Drosophila melanogaster: one gene and its partner. The main gene of each other region encodes a partner of the protein of the gene in region 2 in a complex. Each region holds a gene or a part of one and is shown on either strand. Other genes may lie near its edges.

Region 1 (9,298 bases), on a different chromosome or scaffold from region 2:
TCCACAGCTCCGGTCGTCGCTGGTGCACGCTCCCCCTCCTCCGCTTGCACCCCTTCGCCAACACAATCGTTTGTTATTTGCAGTGGCGGCGGCGGCGGCGGCTGCAGCACCTCCCCCTCCACTTCACCGTCACCATCACAGTCTCCCTCGCCATCGGAACTGCTCAGCACCTGGTTCTCGCCTGACTCGTCCACACCATGTTCCACTCCGTTCTCCATGCGTTCTTGTCGCGAATTCTGTGCAATTCTACGGATATTTTACTTCCAAGATACTTAAGTTTTGCGAAAAAAAACTGATGGATGCAGTAAGGTAGCTGCTTTTTCTACCCAGAATACCGAAACTCATTAAAACCGCCAACCCACGGTCACACTTGCTAGCGGTCCAATTTTAACCGGTAAAAACGGAGGAATGGCGTTGCCATACATAACATGAGAAGCATTGAATCGGTTATTTATTACAGAAACACAAGAAATGTTTTTGTTTTCAAATGTTTATTTATCATAAAAGAGTTCAAGTCTTTTAGGCATTTTCGTAATCATTTATTTTGAAATCCATTAATTTTACTTGTTTTATCGTTGGTTTTAGTCGTGGCACGAAAACAGTGTAAATGTAATAATATTACTTTAAAATTAATTTTAATTGTGATCTGTTAAAGTATTTAATTTTTTAAATCATTCAAGCCGAAATAATCATTTGAAAATATGTGCGTGGCAAATTTAATGAAACCTCTAAACATCGATATCACAGCGTAGAAATCGACAATAATCATCAAAAACATCGAAGCTTGCAGCATTACTAGAAATAGTCAGCGGAAAAGGCGCGCATTAAATTGTTTTGTTAAATTACTTTTACGGTCAGAAAGTAACTTAAAATACATCCAATTACTATCGTATTTTACATGCGTTAACGAAATGGCACTTTGGGTGGATAAATACCGTCCGCGGGAGCTGTCCAAATTGGACTTCCACAAGGTAAATCAGCGAGGAAACCGGCGCATACATCTATATAGCTGGCCCATATATTAAAGTATCTCTTTTTAAAAAGGTTTTTTATTTTATGATTTTTGCTAATTTCGATGCAGGATCAAGCGGAGAACCTACGCAACCTTTGCAAGCAGAGCGATTTTCCTCATCTGATGTTCTACGGACCCTCGGGTGCTGGCAAGAAGACACGCATCATGTGCCTGCTACGGGAGATGTACGGATCCGGCGTTGAGCGGTTGAGGAGCGAGACCATGACATTCACCACGCCATCCAATCGGAAGGTAGAGGTGATGACGGTCAGCAGCAACTACCACTTGGAGGTGAATCCCTCCGACGCTGGCATGTACGACCGCACGGTGGTGATCGATCTCATCAAGCAGGTGGCCCAGACGCATCAAATTGAGATTAGTGGCCAACGGGAATTCAAGGTGATTGTAATTTCGGAGGGCGACGAACTCACCAAGGATGCCCAGCACGCCCTGCGCCGTACGATGGAGAAATATGTGGCCACGTGCCGGATAATCATATCGGTGAACTCCACATCTCGGATCATTCCGGCCATACGGTCGCGTTGCCTGGGCATACGGGTGGCGGCTCCCAACGAAACGGAGATCGTGTCCATCTTGCAGAACACTTGCAAGCGGGAGGGACTCGCACTGCCCGTGGAGCTGGCCAAACGGGTTGTGGACAAGTCGGAGCGCAATCTCAGGCGAGCACTTTTGATGCTGGAGGCCGCCAAGGTGGCCAAGGCGCCGTTTACCGCCAATCAGGAGATTCCCGACCTGGACTGGCAGGTGTTCCTGCGTGAGACAGCATCTCAGATTATCAGTGAGCAAACGCCTGCCAAACTGGAGAAGATCCGCGAACGCCTGTACGAGCTACTCACGCAAGGCGTTCCACCTAATCTCATATTCCGCGGCCTGGTCGAACAGCTGGTTAACAATTGTGATATGTCCATCAAGGCAAAGACGCTCGAGTTCGCCACCGAGTACGAGCACCGGATGCAGTCCGGCGCCAAGCACATTTTTCATCTTGAAGCGTTCGTCGCTCAGTTTATGAACATCTATAAAAAGTTCCTTTCTGAGCTGGACATGACGGATGATTTTTAAACGATTTACACGCTTTAGCATTTAATTCAAAAAACTTATTAAATAAACTGATTTAAACGAACTATTAACGTTCTTCCTGAAGATCCGTTCGCATCTGCAGAACGGCCATGCTCATCTTATCATCGGTGGTGCGCTTTATGGTCTCAATATATCTTTGAACTTCTTCTTCGAGTTTAAAGTAAGCCTAAAATAGGAATAGATTTGGAATATGATTGGAATGTATTTTGAGTAGAACGAAATTTATATGTATGACTTACCATTTCATAATCAAGATCATCCTTGCCATTAATCTTTAAACCGTGCAGCAGCAAATCGATCGTGCTGATGGGGAAGCAGAGCTGTGGGTTTGCTATGTTCACCGCGTGTTTGAATTCGAAATACTCGCTACCTGCTCCCAGCATGCCGGCGATTATTTCACATCCCAGATCTGCGGCTTCCAGCAGACGATTGTGTTTCACAAGTAAGTGGAGCAGTTCCCGGGAGTGGGATAACTTGTAGGAGTTTATCAGCCACTGGGGCAAGAAGGCGTTTAACCCGAGAAGCCTTTGAACCACGCTCTTTCTTATCAAGGTGGAGTCTTTTGCCTCGTTATCCACAACCAGTTTTTGAAGTAAAGTCCAGGCCATATCGGCAGCATTACTTCGATGAGGTAGATCTGTTATAAGACATATAGTAAGCCTCTTTTTTTCATACACGTTAAAAAATCCCTACCTGCCATGTCGTTGTTTTGCAGCCAGTTCCAGGCGTCCGACGACTTGTCCTCAGTGGCAGCAACACAAGCGGATGTCAGACTCTCGAATATGGGGAGCACAGAGAACGAGTGTCCCCGCGAAAGTTTCAATGCCGCGGTGTACAGGCCGGAACTAGCCAGCAGGTATGATAGCTCCTCGGGTGTGGCCCGCTCGTAGGCAGCTGTATCTTTGCGGTAGAAGGAAAGCTCACGTAAAGCTTCTGCGTGCACCAGTTCCCTTCGGATATCAGCCAGCTCTAGAACAACCACCTCCTGGCCTCTCTTGTCCTCGTCACATTTGGGCTCACCATCGTCGTTATCCTGATCTATGGTAATCACCTGCTCATCACCAAGAACAGGCTTGGCAATCCATCTGTAGCGGCTGTCAACTAGGTGCAAACAGTTTAGGCAAATTAACAGCGAGGAGCAACGTTTCTCTAGCGCGTTTGGTGCATCGCTGTCTACTTGAAACCGCATGGCCTGCTCATACATAACCGTAGAAGCTGTTCGGAAACAAATTATTAATGCAAGAAGAAATGGAAGAAAATAAAGTAATTTTTATGCAAACCTTTTCTCATGTTACCCTTGTTCGTATGGAATGCATACAAAAAGTTGTAGACTTCGTTCTGATCGATGCTCATTGATCGTGCCCGGGATTCAACAATGCTCTCGAACTCGTCTTGCAACCCGATGTAGGAGAACTGCATAAGCAGTGGCAGACATTTATTCTGGAACAGCGTTATGACCAACTGGCGAAGGCAATCCTTACGCCTTGAAATATCTGCATTGTTGACTAAGGCGGTGTACGCCTCCACGTAGTGTCCCAACTGCAGATGATTATTGAACACTATTGACTGGAACATGGGCAACTGAGGATCATCTGGCTGCAGCACCCTAATGGCCATGTCAGCCAGTTGAATAATGTAGTCCAATGCGGAATGCTGTTCAAAGAGCTGGATAACCTTAAGATAGTAGTGAACAATTGCCAGTTTTGTGTCTTCGGGGGAAATTGTATCGCCACGGCTGACGCTATTCTGTAATTTGCCGTATAGAGGGGTATTTTTCAGTACATGCTCAAAGAGGAAGTCATCCTCCACAATGCCAGACTCCGCCTCGTGAAAGAGATGCACGGCCTTGTGGGCCTCACCGCAATCCAATAGAGATACGGCTAGCATAAAGCGTCCTGCGGAAAAAAAGGATTAATTTCAAAGCTGGGAAAACTAGCAAATAATGCATACTGGCATGTTTTTGTACGGAACACCAGTTTGACAAAATGCGCACGTAATCCTGAACAATGATGTGATGACAGGTCCCAAATAACCATTCCGGAAATACGTAAATCGGAGATCCCGGCCAACTAAGAGATGTTTGAAACTTAAAACATGATCAATTTTTCTATATATTATACGCACAGCATCTTATTGATGTATCCAACAAGTTGGAGCAAAGACTGGCGTAGATTCAATTGCTCCGAGTCCAGCGACAAACTGTCATGCTTCAGCAGCATAGTCAAGGCGCTGAACAGACCTTTCGATTCCAGGAACAGTCGGAGCAGAGTGGTCTGATCGTTCCCATTATGTTTCAGATGGCTGGAGTATGGTCGATTATAGCCGCTGAAAAGTTGGGCGCGGCTCAATCGTTGAATAGATGCCTCGCTAAAATTAAAATAGAAGTTAGAACTGTGCAATACAATCAATTATATATCCTTACAATCCAGCTGGGGTACTCGATGAAATGGGTGTCTCGGCAATCCAAACCAGTGTATAATATGAGTTCAAATAATTTAAATTTGTTAAAACATTTTCGCTTTCCATTTCGTTCTGACCATAAGCCATGTACTGCAATACCAAAAGGTTTCGGCAAACAGAAAACCTAGGGACACATGATTTAATAAATGATAAACCAAGTTCAAAGTTTTTTAAACTATTACGAAAGCTCACCGTATCATTGCCATTTGCTTCACTGTTTCGGACAAAATAGAAAGTCCATATTCGCTACCCATTAGAGCCCCAGACGACTGCAAGAAGCGCGTAGAAAGGGAGTAATCTATAAAGTAGAAATGAAATATATGAATCATTTTCAAACATTATATATATTTATAAGTAATTTACCATGCGGCGGTTCATCTGGATCAATCATACACAGCACATCGAGCAGCATTTCCAAAGCGGGTTCAAGATTTGGTATATTCTGCAGCTTCTGTTGGATTTGCCTCACACAGTTTGATGGCAATATTGGACCATTATCATCGATCATACTGATTCTAGCCACCAGCTTAGATATTACTTCAACCGGTGACTCCCGCTGGTAAAGCTGTTTATCTAGCTCGATTTTAATGTCCTCCGAAATTAGTTTATCAAGCAGTGTCACCACATTCATGAGCTCCACAAAACCCTTGGCCATTTCGGGATCGTTGCGAAATAGTGGCGCCACATATGTCGCCACTTCATCGTTATGCTCGCCGATGAGCAACAGGTGCTCGAGCACTTCGCAGGGGCGCAGCAATGCGAATGATTGCCTTCTAACCAAACATACTGCATCCATTCCACCAAGAACGGCGAGTCCTGTCGGCTCGGAAAGCTTAATGTGATACTGTTCGCAGCAGGAGTAAAAGCGATCCCACAGCCGAGTGGATATCTCCAAGTACTCCTCATCGGTGACCACAAAGTCTTTCAGTTCGTTTTGGATTTCATCTTCCACGGCCTGGCATACCTGCTCCTTGAGCACTGACATGGAAAGTTGCTTTACATCGAATTGCAGGTTAACGCGTCTGAACATCTACGATACAAAAAATTCAAATTACTAAACTATTCCAATAATTCATAATAAAGAATGTTTTGGTTATACTCACATATAAAGCCTTGGCAATTACATTTCGGTCAAATCGACCAGGATGAAATATATAGCTGCAGTAAGTTTCGCGTGGATCCACTCCCTGCTCCATGGTGAGACAATACCGATCCGGTGGCGGTTCTAGAGCAGCCGAAACCCATTTGATTGCGTTGTTGGAGGCAAAATATGCTGCCGAGACATGGAAATCGCCTTCAGCGTTGCTCCAAAGGGCCCAGATGTGCGAGGATGTGGCATCGAAGTCGACCAAATCCGTTTGCGGCGCCGGCACCATGTTCTGCACCAAATTGATAACGCTGGCATCGTCGGCATCGGGCATTATGCTAACGCATATAAACTCAGCTCGGGAATTGTGCGAGAGAAATAGACAGAAGTTTTGATCGCTTATTTTTCGGAGCTGGCTGTTTTGTGCTGTTAAAAAAAAGAATATAATCCCATTATATCTAGATCATAAATCTAAATCGTAATAATATTTTATACTCACGTCCTTGAGCTGCTGAGTCCTGTCCCAGTTCGGTGGAGCAGTTAATGCTGGCTACAGTCTGCAAGTTATCCACTGACCATAGACGCAGCTCATTATTGCGATACAGAACCAGAATGAAAATTTCCCCCCCGATTTCACTGAAAGCCATGGACGTGGCTGCCTCCAACGTTTCAGAGCGGCCGCTACAATGATTAATGAAACATTAGGGATTTGCCATTTATCGAGGTTTATCCACTTACGTGAGGGCACCCTTGAGATTCGACAGAAACCATGGCATTAGCTTCGGCTCCTTGATTTCGTGGGTGATAGTATGGCCGGTGGAGCATTTCATAACGTGAAGCAGTAGTTTGCTCTGATACGCCACCGCAAAGTAGGCTGACTGGGAGTCTTGAGTGAGGTACGATACAGCCGCGTTGGGCATAGTTCCAAAGCCATCCGTGACATAGTAAGTGCTGGGATCATTGATCTTGTCATTGACGTCGTAGAAAATGGACTGGGATAGCAGATCCTCTGGAGAAGCTGCGCCACCTTCCTGCCCAGCGACCTTCAAGGGAAACACATAGCGATGCACACTGCTGACCGTGACCACCAGCAGGGTGACGGATGTACCTTGCTCCGTGAGTGATACATTCAGCACAGCGGAGTCGGTGAATCGCAGACGCAGGTGATTCCTCTGCAGGGAGATGTCCAAACTAACCTCTGATAGTTCCAGGACATCCTGGTATGTCCGCCTGCAAATCAGTGGCCATGTGAAACTAATTTAACGATTCTGATTTGCACTTACCAATATATGAAACGGTTTCTGGTCTGAACATTTTTCGTATTCTTGTAGCAATAGCCGCCGGAGGTTTCGAAGGTTTTTAAATCCTGCAAAGTGCTCTGGGTTCCTACATTTTGCGGAGGAGCATTTGGTTACTCAGAATTTCTCTGGCAATCTTGCACGAAACTCACCCGTGTTAATTTTCACCTCGATCCACTCCGCCGGACTGAGGTTCCGCGGTATGACCTCGCGGTAGCTCATGTTGGCTTGCAGTTTGGATGTGGGCATCTTGCTAGCACAACAAATTAATATAAAAACCTCAACGAAAACGGAAAATTATTGGCGGCACCGGCGTAAACACGCTCAGTAGTAGTGTTGGAAAACGCTTACGCCAGCGGTGCACACCAGGCAAAATAGTCGACATAGCTTTTTATACTCACATACAAAAGTTAATTACAGAAGTTAGTTAAAAATTGTACATTTTCCTAAATGTAATTTCATGACAATAAAGTTTATTATAGCAAAGCAGGAATGATATAAGATGCCTTTAAATCTTGTGATATTAAGAAAGTTGTCGCTAGCATTTTAACAATTGCCACATATTGGTCACACTGCATTGCACGTGTGTTTCCATTTGTTGATGCGGCTTTATTATTTAGTTTATTTTTTAAAATAAAAACTGTCTCTGGCCTAAAAATGAGTGAACAGCAGGATGAGACTGTAGTCTGCCTGCCCGGGGAGCGACTCTGCAGAACCGAGGACAGCATAGTCCTGGGCATAGGCACCTACGAGCAGAATGGCTACATTTACGCCTCCAAGTCTGGAATTGTCAACATCGAAGATTCGGGTGATAAAGTAAGTAATCCTGGCATTTCGTTGACTCTGGGAACCAATTAATCTCCATTTCAGTGCCAGGTGGTTAGTGTGCATAAGCCCGGATTTCATCTAACCATCCCAGCCACCGGAGACGTGGTCACAGCCAGAGTTCTCGTCACAACTCCAAAATTCGCCAAGTGCGCCATTTTCTGCGTACGAAATGTGCTGCTGGAAAGCAGCTACCGCGGACTTCTGCGCAAGGAGGATGTCCGGGAGACCGAAAAAGATCGCGTCGATATCTACAAGTCCTTCCGGCCGGGCGATGTCATCCTGGCGAGGGTCATTAACCAACTGGAGCAGTCCTTCCTCCTGACCACCGCCGAAAATGAACTCGGCGTGGTCATCGCCTATGCCAGTGATTACCGGAAGACCCGGGTGCCCATGGTGCCGGTCGGCTGGAGCGAGATGCAGTGCCCCCAGACCACGATCAAGGAGCCACGGAAAGTGGCTAAAGTTCTGCCTGAGAGTTCAATAAATGCTGTGAAATAAGGTCAATCGCATGTTAATCAGAAGCTTAAATTCATTTGTGGAACTAAAAATGTTTTAGTAAGTGATTATTAGCCAAATAATTATATGTCTTGGCAACCAGAGGACGCTGAATATGGATACAGGTTTATGTTAGCATTTTATTTCCATAGCAACGTTGATAAGTAGCTATTTGACAGTTTACATTATTTCAAATCATTAAATAAATCTATAATTAAGTTGTAAAAGTTCAAAACAAGCTGGTTTCCATAGTTTAGCTTTTATGATTGATACGTATCTTATATTTGTTATTTATTCATGATTGGTTTGTTATAATGATTCAACAAGAGATTAGAATTTAATATTGGATCGTCATGCAATTGCTGTTTTTAAAAGTATCTCTATAGATTCGAAAGTCATGGGAATAGATTAAAGAAATTGTGCGGTAATTTGTTCTAGCAACTTAACAAAACATATTTTATGTTTAAAATAATTCATAAACACAAGGTAATCTAAATATATGCAGGCACATGCACTTTATAGGTTGGCAACATAAAAACTTTTAGGGTAAACGACAGGTACTTATTCCAAGTAATCCGAATTTCAATAACATGCAATTGCACGTGTTCCCAAAAAAAAAAATATATAATCATAAAGGCAAATAGATGGTTGTAAAGGCTCAGGCGTCAGAGGCGTAAAAACCCGTAGCCCGTTGCCAATCAATGTCGCTGGGAGCTGTTGTTGATGGATGACTATTCCTATGCAAATAGCAAATGGAAGTTCGTTTCGCGTGCAGGAGCCGCGACTAATTCAATCAGAGGAGCGGGAGCAGGCAGCCTGGAGCAATGAGCTGCTCCGGGACTAGGCCACCGTGTCTTGTCTTGCCGAAGAAATGCAAATGCATAGGAAAAGTTACAGGTGGATCGGTGGGCAGGGAGCTTAGCGAGTCCTGGGGGATCCAAACAACCAATCATTGTTTGGTCGATGGGAAACGCAGTCGGTTTGTTTCGGTGGTTCGAAGCCCGGTTAATATTCAAATTA
Region 2 (7,632 bases):
GAGGTTTTTCACAAGGTAAACACTTCACTCAAACATTAGCTTCAACATAATTATTGACATTTGGTTGGTTACCCTATTAGATCTTGCCAAGGATCCCACGAGTCCTGCAGTATGTGAAGAATCAGTCGACCACCATGGACGAGATTGGCCTGGAAACCAAGAAATGTCTGCAGCAACTGGTCGACCTAACCAGCGCCCTAATGCTACGTTTCTATGATCAGGATGAGCTCTATGTCGCAACCAAGAAAGCCCTGCAGACCTATGAGCCCTCTCCGAATTGCGTGGCTCTGGCAAAGGCAATGCATGAGAATGCCCAGCCGTGGGGTCGGCGGAATGCGAGGGTTGGACTCGTTAACCTGGGGAATACCTGCTACATGAATAGCGTACTTCAGGCGCTAGCCATGACCAGCGAGTAAGTAAAGATCAAATGAAGAAACCCCACTTCTAATTTCCCCAAAGTAGAAGCGCAAAATAATATCTTTGCCTCATATTTATGATTAAAACTCGGTTCTATATTTGCATTGCCTTGCCAGCACCTTTTGTTTAAGAGCTCACTGTTTATAAATCTGTTTTAGGTGTCAATTTCCGATTACGAAAATAATTACGATTACGAAGCTTATTGGCTTTATTTATCTTCTTACAACTACATATACTCATTTTCCATTTGCAGTTTTAGCAGGCAAATCCTGCTTATCGAGTGCAATTCAGTGCTGCTCATGAAAGTGCAGCAGCAGATTGCCCTGATGCATCACTCGCTGCGCTACGAACTAACGCCTTCGCGAGTGCTGAACGCCACCCGGCCGCCTAGCTTCACGCCCGGCCTACAACAGGACAGCTCCGAGTTCCTAGGATATCTGCTCGACCTGCTGCACGAGCACGAGATCAACAGCTCCTCAGTCACTGGTCACAGTGTTGGTCCTCCGAAGACCGGCAGGGAAGTGGACGACGTGCCCGCACTGCTGAGCGAGGATATATTGTCGAGCGGCGTTATTCCGTACAACAGCAAGGATCACGAGCTCAGCAGTGGAAGCAACAGTGACAATTGTAATCACAAGCCCACACCGACACCACCCGCGACTCCCACCAAAGCCACCAACGGCTTAAAGCAGCAGGGCCAGCAGGTTGATCAGGCGAAGCCACCATCTACCATTGACAAGACGTTCGCTGGCAAGCTTTCCACCACCTATCGATGTTTAAACTGCGGCTGGGAGAGCCGGAACGAGGACAGCTTTCGCGAGCTGCAGCTGTCTTTTCCCGATGATAAGGAAGACTGTGGAGCCACCAACTACTCGGTGCAGGATCTGATCGAGTACTACTGCTCGCCCGAGAAGCTGGACGGTGACAATCAATATTTCTGTCCACAATGCAAGAAGCTTTGCGATGCGGAGCGCCACATCGGGGTCACCCAGGCACCGAAGAACCTTATTCTCACGCTCAAGCAGTTCAAGTACGATCAGAAGTACCACTTCCGCACCAAGCTCATGCATAAGGTGTTCCACGATGAGAGCGTAAGTATCGCAGCGAATTTCTCCGCTACAAGTTTAGCTAACCATTTCGCACGCTAGGTCACAGTAAAAATGTCGGCAAAGGACTCGCTGCAGGAGATGTCCACTGTGCACTATGATCTGTATGCGGGTGTTGTTCACGCCGGGTACAGCATGGATTCCGGTCACTACTTTACGTTCGCGGCGGATCAAGCCAAGAATTGGTACAAGTTCAACGATAACGTGGTTACCCACTCCAAGCCGGAGGAGATGCACAATCTCACTTCGCCCAACACGCCCTACATCCTGTTCTACAAGATGTGCGGCCACTCCAATGAGTCTAATTCGGTTACGGCCAGCTGCAGTTCGAGTATGGTATCGGGCTCAAATGACCAGGTGGTCTCGGTGCCACTGTCGCCGCCTCTGAAGCTGGAGGAGTTGCCACGCCGACTTCGCGACTACGTAAGAAAGGACAACCATGTTTACAACGAAGAGTTGAAGATGCAACGCTTTAAGCGTGGCAACAGCGGTCACGGCAATGCGTTTGTCAGCCGGCACAACTTTGATGGCGATGGTGACGAGGACGACAAGGCGCCGCCGCCGCCCGGAGGATGTGGAGGCAATGGACTGGGCATGAACATCAACCGCTTCGTCTTCTGAGAAAGCGACAGCCAGGATAGCGAGCACACCGGAGGCCACTAGAACATATACTTGTCTACTTTATGAAACACGCGCATACTAATCGAAATGTTACATACATATATATATAGCACGTTCACAACCAATCGAGATATATGCGCCTACGTATATCGAAGTGTATGAGAAACGCGCTTACCGATCGCTTGTTCGCTACCTCCTTGAGTTGTTGTCGATGTTTTCTAAATTGTTTCTTCCTTTTCTCCTTGATCCTTCGGCCCGTTGCCCCAAAAATCATTATACTCATCCACTCATACGAACGCAAACTATTATTGTATTTCCATTTACAAAATTGTTATAATTTTTTTGTTTTTGTTAACACAAACCTAGTTGTAGAACGTGCATATATGCGAACACAAACATATTTAATTATAAAAATTAAAAAAAAAAAAAAACAATAGAATTAGCCAGAAATAGGAGCGATATACTTGAATCCGAAGACCACTAACTTCCAAAACACTAAACCAGAAATAATGTCTGCACCCTAGTTTTTAACGCACAGCTCGAAATTAAATCATATCTCGAGTTGCAATCGAACTAGCAAGAAGCTACAAAACAAGATAATCGCGGCATTGACTTGTATAGATCGAGATCGTTTATAGATCGGGCTATAACCCTCGGATCGTATTATTAGTTTCACTGTTAATTTTAGCAAATTTCAAAAAATTTGCGCATGTGCGACACGAATTTGTAATTGATATATATAAATGTATCTCTTTGGATCTGGTGAGCAGAGGTTGCGATGAATTTTGAACGTTATTGCAATTAAATTGGAATAATTTCAAGGAAATTTGTATATGGTGTATGTCTATTGATAACCAAAATCTATACTATGCTATGCTATAAGTGTATCAATAAAGAAAAGAACAAGCCCAAAGAGTGTTTAATTATTAGAGTCACGAAAGAGTTTAATGTGAAAACAACAAAAATAGTATCCATTCATGGAAGTTACTATATCAAAAAGAAAAGCAATGATCAGAAAGGAGGATATTATATTCAGTTCAAACATTAGAGAGGAGGCGTAAACTAGAATTAAAAACTTGACAGGATTATTGAAGTGGCGAATTGATTTTCTTGCCGCCAAATTTCAAATTATAGCGTACTAATAATCAAAAGTCGGGCCTAAGACTATCGATAATTTAGACCGCGCGGCAGTGTTACCAAATTAATAAGGGAAATTCAAGTGTTGTTGTCAGCAAGGGTGAGAGCCCATTTACAATCTGGTAACACTGCTAGAAAGCGCCAAAATTTTACGTTTATTAGGATTAAGACTAATTTTATTACAATAAAATAGAATTGTACAAATTCCGGCCCCTAGGAAAGGCAACCCAAACTGTGCGGCAAAGTAACGTCCTTGAGAATACCGCATCATGTCGTTCTTCGGATCCAACACGTCGCTGGGAGCAACAAGCACGCCGGCCAAAAGTGAGTTTCCGTAAACAAGACCTCATGCCCTTTTCTCCAAATATTTGTGGGGTCCATTTCCACTTGGTGGAGGCTTCAGCAGCTTCTTGGCGTCCTGCAGGCTGTGGATGCGGATGTCTTTGGGATCTATGCTGGATGTGGGACGGGCTACATGGTGTCAGTGTTCTTATGTGGCCAGACAAAGATGCTCACCCCTTCTTGTGGACCACATAGGCGACGTATCCCACAAAACCTAGCAGGAGGATCAGCAATATAAAAACCAGAGCCATTTTCCACGACCAGCAGGCGACCAGAGCTTGAAGCAAACTAAGGGCAGCTTCTGTAGTATTTTGGAACCCGAAATCTCAGATAAGAATCCAAGGCAGAAGCATAGTTTTCAAAACACTGACCCATTTCTGGTCTTCTTATCTCTTTTGTTCAGCAACCGGTGGCCTCTTCGGATCGCCGTTTGGAGGCACAGCTGCAACCAGCCAGCCAGCACCCGCTTTCGGAGCACAGGCCACATCGACTCCGGCTTTTGGCGCCCAACCGGCGACTTCTGCCTTCGGAGCAGGTTCCGCCTTTGGAGCAACCGCTGCAGCCCCGGCTTTTGGAGCCGCCACAGGAACTTCTGCCTTTGGCGGCTCCGCCTTTGGCAGTACTCCGGCATTTGGTGCGGCGACAACCACAACTGCGGGCACGGGTTTGGGAGGAGGCGGTTTCGGCGGATTTGGAGCAGCTCCGGCAACAAGTCAGGCCGGTCTGTTCGGCGCTCCAGCGACTAGTGCAGCACCACCAGCTTTTAGCGGATTCGGCCAACAGGCAGCTGCGAGTACAGCGCCAGCAAGTGGATTTTCAGGCTTTGGCACAACCACAACGTCGGCACCTGCTTTTGGTGGCTTTGGCACCAGCCAGTCCACTGGCTTTGGGGGCGGAGCCTTCGGATCCAGTAAGTTAAATAAGCCCATTTGTCTTTCTGTGGTATTCCTAACCTGGTTTATGTTTCAGCGTTCGGAAAACCAGCGAATACAACAGTTACGCCGGGATTTGGTGGATTCGGAGGCACCAGTTTTATGCTTGGACAGCCGCAACAGCAGCCAGCGCCCATATCGGCTGACGAGGCGTTTGCCCAATCCATTCTGAATGTATCCATTTTCGGGGATGAACGGGACAAAATAGTGGCCAAATGGAACTACTTGCAGGCTACGTGGGGCACTGGGAAAATGTTTTACTCCCAGAGTGCGGCACCGGTAGACATTACGCCGGAGAACGTGATGTGCCGGTTCAAGGCCATAGGCTACAGTCGTATGCCGGGCAAGGATAACAAGTTGGGACTGGTGGCTCTTAACTTCTGCAGAGAACTCTCAGCTGTCAAGTAAGTCTTAGTGCTTGTCTACATCATGGCATAGGTATTAATTCATTTTATTTTAGGCCACACCAGCAACAAGTGATTCAAACGCTTCACAGTTTATTCGGCAGCAAGCCCAACATGCTTGTTCACATAGATTCCATCAAGGAGTTGGAGAACAAAAAGTGCCAAATTGTTATTTATGTCGAGGAGAAACTTCAACATGCTCCCAACGAAAGCAAGCGTATACTTGCCACCGAACTCTCAAACTACCTTAATCAGGCGACGCTGAAACCACAGCTCAATAATCTAGGTGTTGTGGAGGCTTTGGCTCTGGTATTACCCGACGAAGATCAATTGAGGGAGTACCTTGAAAATCCACCCCGCGGCGTGGATCCGCGCATGTGGCGTCAGGCCAATTCCGACAATCCAGATCCAACTTTATATATACCAGTGCCCATGGTGGGCTTTAACGACTTAAAGTGGCGCGTTAAGTGTCAGGAACAAGAAACGGACACGCATGCATTGTACATAAAGAAGGTGGAGAGTGAGCTGACAGAACTCAAGAAGCGCCATGCCACTGCCACAGCGAAGATACTTGAACATAAACGGAAACTGGCCGAGCTCAGTCATCGCATACTAAGGGTAGGGACACCTAGTTAAATACCCAACTTTATTTTTACATTCAGAAATCCGCATTTTTCAACCACAGATAATAGTGAAACAAGAGTGCACCCGCAAGGTGGGCACTTCCCTGACGCCCGAGGAGGAGGCCTTGCGCACCAAGCTACAGAACATGCTGGCTGTCGTCTCCGCACCCACCCAATTCAAGGGCCGACTCAGCGAGCTCCTCTCCCAGATGCGCATGCAGCGCAATCAATTCGCAGCCAACGGTGGTGCCGAGTATGCCCTCGACAAGGAAGCGGAGGACGAGATGAAGACCTTTCTGACGATGCAGCAGCGCGCCATGGAGGTGCTGAGCGATACCGTCAACAAGGACCTGAGGGCGCTGGATGTTATAATTAAAGGACTGCCCGAGCTGCGACAATCGTGATAGGAATGGAAATGAGCTGATACGTTGAATAAAACCCACATATGTGTAACACAACCCGGTGATTTTCGATGATCGAGACAACGAACAAGTTGTGGCCGTTACACTTTTGCCATTATGTCGTCGTTTAGCATTTCCTGTAGCTTTGAACTTGCACTTTTACGGGCAATGGAGTCGAAACAATCGAAACGAGTTCACACATTCGTCGCCAATGCTGCGGAAATAATTGTGTGGGTCAATGCACTTGCACCGCACAGCTCTTGGACCGCCCGACTTTTCCTCGGCCACTGTCTGAAATTGTCCAATTTCGACGGCTAGGCAGAAGGCAATCGCTCGGACTCATTATGAGTGGCAAACGGTTCGTCTCTGGCAGTTCCAGTTTGTTCAACTCCCAGCATCGGTATCACCATCGTTGTTACATTAACATTATTATGTGCTCTGGCGTGTGCATACATGTGCAGTCTAGTTAGTTGGCTCGTTACATATTTATTTCTTGTGTGGGAAACTAGTTTTCTCCCAGTCAACCAGCCAGCCAGGGTCCGTGCAGGTTTTTTGTTGGCCATTGATGGCGGAGACTTCCGAGCTTCCGTTTGGAGCATGTAGCGCCAGTATAAATGAATTGGCCAGCTCCAAGGAGGCCTCACATCGTTTCAGATCTAAGAAAGTGAAGGTGGTTCAATTGGAGCACTGCATATGAGGAGCTGAAAGTGAAACGTTCAGAGCTATGGGAATTAAATTGGACATGAATGGTTTATTGGTTGTGAGTTGTTTGGCTTGACCGCTCAATGCGAAAATCGGACTAAGTTTTCACATCCTTGCAGTTGTTTTTGTGCGCCTTTTGCTGCAGCGTGGTGGCCAAACCACCGACAGCTCGGCGGGCACAGCTGCACGACGATGTCCAGCTTATCCATCCCCACATCATCACCATAGAGCGTTTAGAGAATTTGCTGCGGCGTGCTGGGGAAATCTTTGGTCCGGCTCTAGAGGAAGATGCCATGGCGGAGGCCAGTAGTCAGGTGCAGGAGCAAGTGCAGCCGCAGCAGCGAATGCTGCCGCCAACGGAGCAGCCGTATAACTTCTATTTACCTCTATACGACTTCGTGGAGCCCAAGCTGGATGCCAAGAGCCGAATGCTGGAGAAGATTGCTCCTCCGCCGCAAAAGACGGAGCACAACTACTACGCGGAAAAGCCAAAAAAGAAGCCAAAGAAGTTTAACGCTGCCAACAAGCACATCAACCTCAATCTCAAGTGGCTTAACACCTACGAGAGGGCCATGGGCGGAGCAACTGCGCCCAAAGCCATGTATCTGGAGCAGGACGAGCGCAACCGAATAAACTTCGACGACTCCTTCTTTGCGGTGGACATGCAGGTAAAGATTCCGGATAATCAGCCCCACAAGGAGCCAGCTGCGCCCACAGAGCTCTTGCAGCATGGCGAAGAGCAGGCCGAGGAAGATTTGATGGCGGCTCCTGCGCAGTTAGCCTTTAACTTCAAGTCTCCCGTCCAGGAAGAACGTCGAACATAGATGCGGTTTTTTTTGCTATAGGTTTTAGTCAGTTGTATAAAAAAGCTACAATAAATGCACTTAGAGTGAGTAAAGTCCAGAATACGGATTCGACCAGTTGGCCTCCTCCTACTTCTTCCGCAG

What was found. Proteins that work in one complex are often made in the same cells at the same time.
Region 1: Nup54 (region 2) and Nup160 share a complex: the UniProt entries of both Drosophila melanogaster proteins name them as parts of the nuclear pore complex.

What each region holds. Positions count from the first base shown.
Region 1 is NT_033779.5:11,121,785-11,131,082, reverse strand, and holds Nup160 (nucleoporin 160kD), read right to left. Parts: upstream 7,307-9,298; 5' UTR 7,205-7,306; coding exon 7,108-7,204; intron 7,044-7,107; coding exon 6,941-7,043; intron 6,888-6,940; coding exon 6,396-6,887; intron 6,339-6,395; coding exon 6,157-6,338; intron 6,084-6,156; coding exon 5,674-6,083; intron 5,601-5,673; coding exon 4,934-5,600; intron 4,869-4,933; coding exon 4,763-4,868; intron 4,695-4,762; coding exon 4,533-4,694; intron 4,478-4,532; coding exon 4,235-4,477; intron 4,180-4,234; coding exon 4,061-4,179; intron 4,006-4,060; coding exon 3,391-4,005; intron 3,326-3,390; coding exon 2,804-3,325; intron 2,748-2,803; coding exon 2,350-2,747; intron 2,277-2,349; coding exon 2,157-2,276; 3' UTR 2,093-2,156; downstream 1-2,092. Other genes in the region: CG4751 (uncharacterized protein), read right to left, coding at 1-218; RfC38 (replication factor C 38kD subunit), read left to right, coding at 912-971, 1,082-2,092; Csl4, read left to right, coding at 7,613-7,771, 7,826-8,281. UniProt on the Drosophila melanogaster protein: Functions as a component of the nuclear pore complex (NPC). Involved in poly(A)+ RNA transport. Required for nuclear import of Mad. May play a role in double strand break DNA repair. Essential for nephrocyte development.
Region 2 is NT_033778.4:12,426,855-12,434,486, reverse strand, and holds Nup54 (nucleoporin 54kD), read left to right. Parts: upstream 1-3,387; 5' UTR 3,388-3,550; coding exon 3,551-3,605; exon of another isoform or gene 3,606-3,627; coding exon of another isoform or gene 3,628-3,736; intron 3,737-3,797; coding exon of another isoform or gene 3,798-3,874; exon of another isoform or gene 3,875-3,892; intron 3,893-4,026; coding exon 4,027-4,533; intron 4,534-4,592; coding exon 4,593-4,959; intron 4,960-5,015; coding exon 5,016-5,577; intron 5,578-5,644; coding exon 5,645-5,986; 3' UTR 5,987-6,038; downstream 6,039-7,632. Other genes in the region: DUBAI (deubiquitinating apoptotic inhibitor), read left to right, coding at 1-15, 81-412, 671-1,508, 1,566-2,144; CG43204 (uncharacterized protein), read right to left, coding at 3,628-3,736, 3,798-3,874; CG13154 (uncharacterized protein), read left to right, coding at 6,708-6,743, 6,805-7,509; Dera (Deoxyribose-phosphate aldolase), read right to left, coding at 7,618-7,632. UniProt on the Drosophila melanogaster protein: Component of the nuclear pore complex (NPC), a complex required for the trafficking across the nuclear envelope. Essential for the nuclear import of nuclear localization signal (NLS)-containing proteins in an importin alpha/importin beta-dependent manner.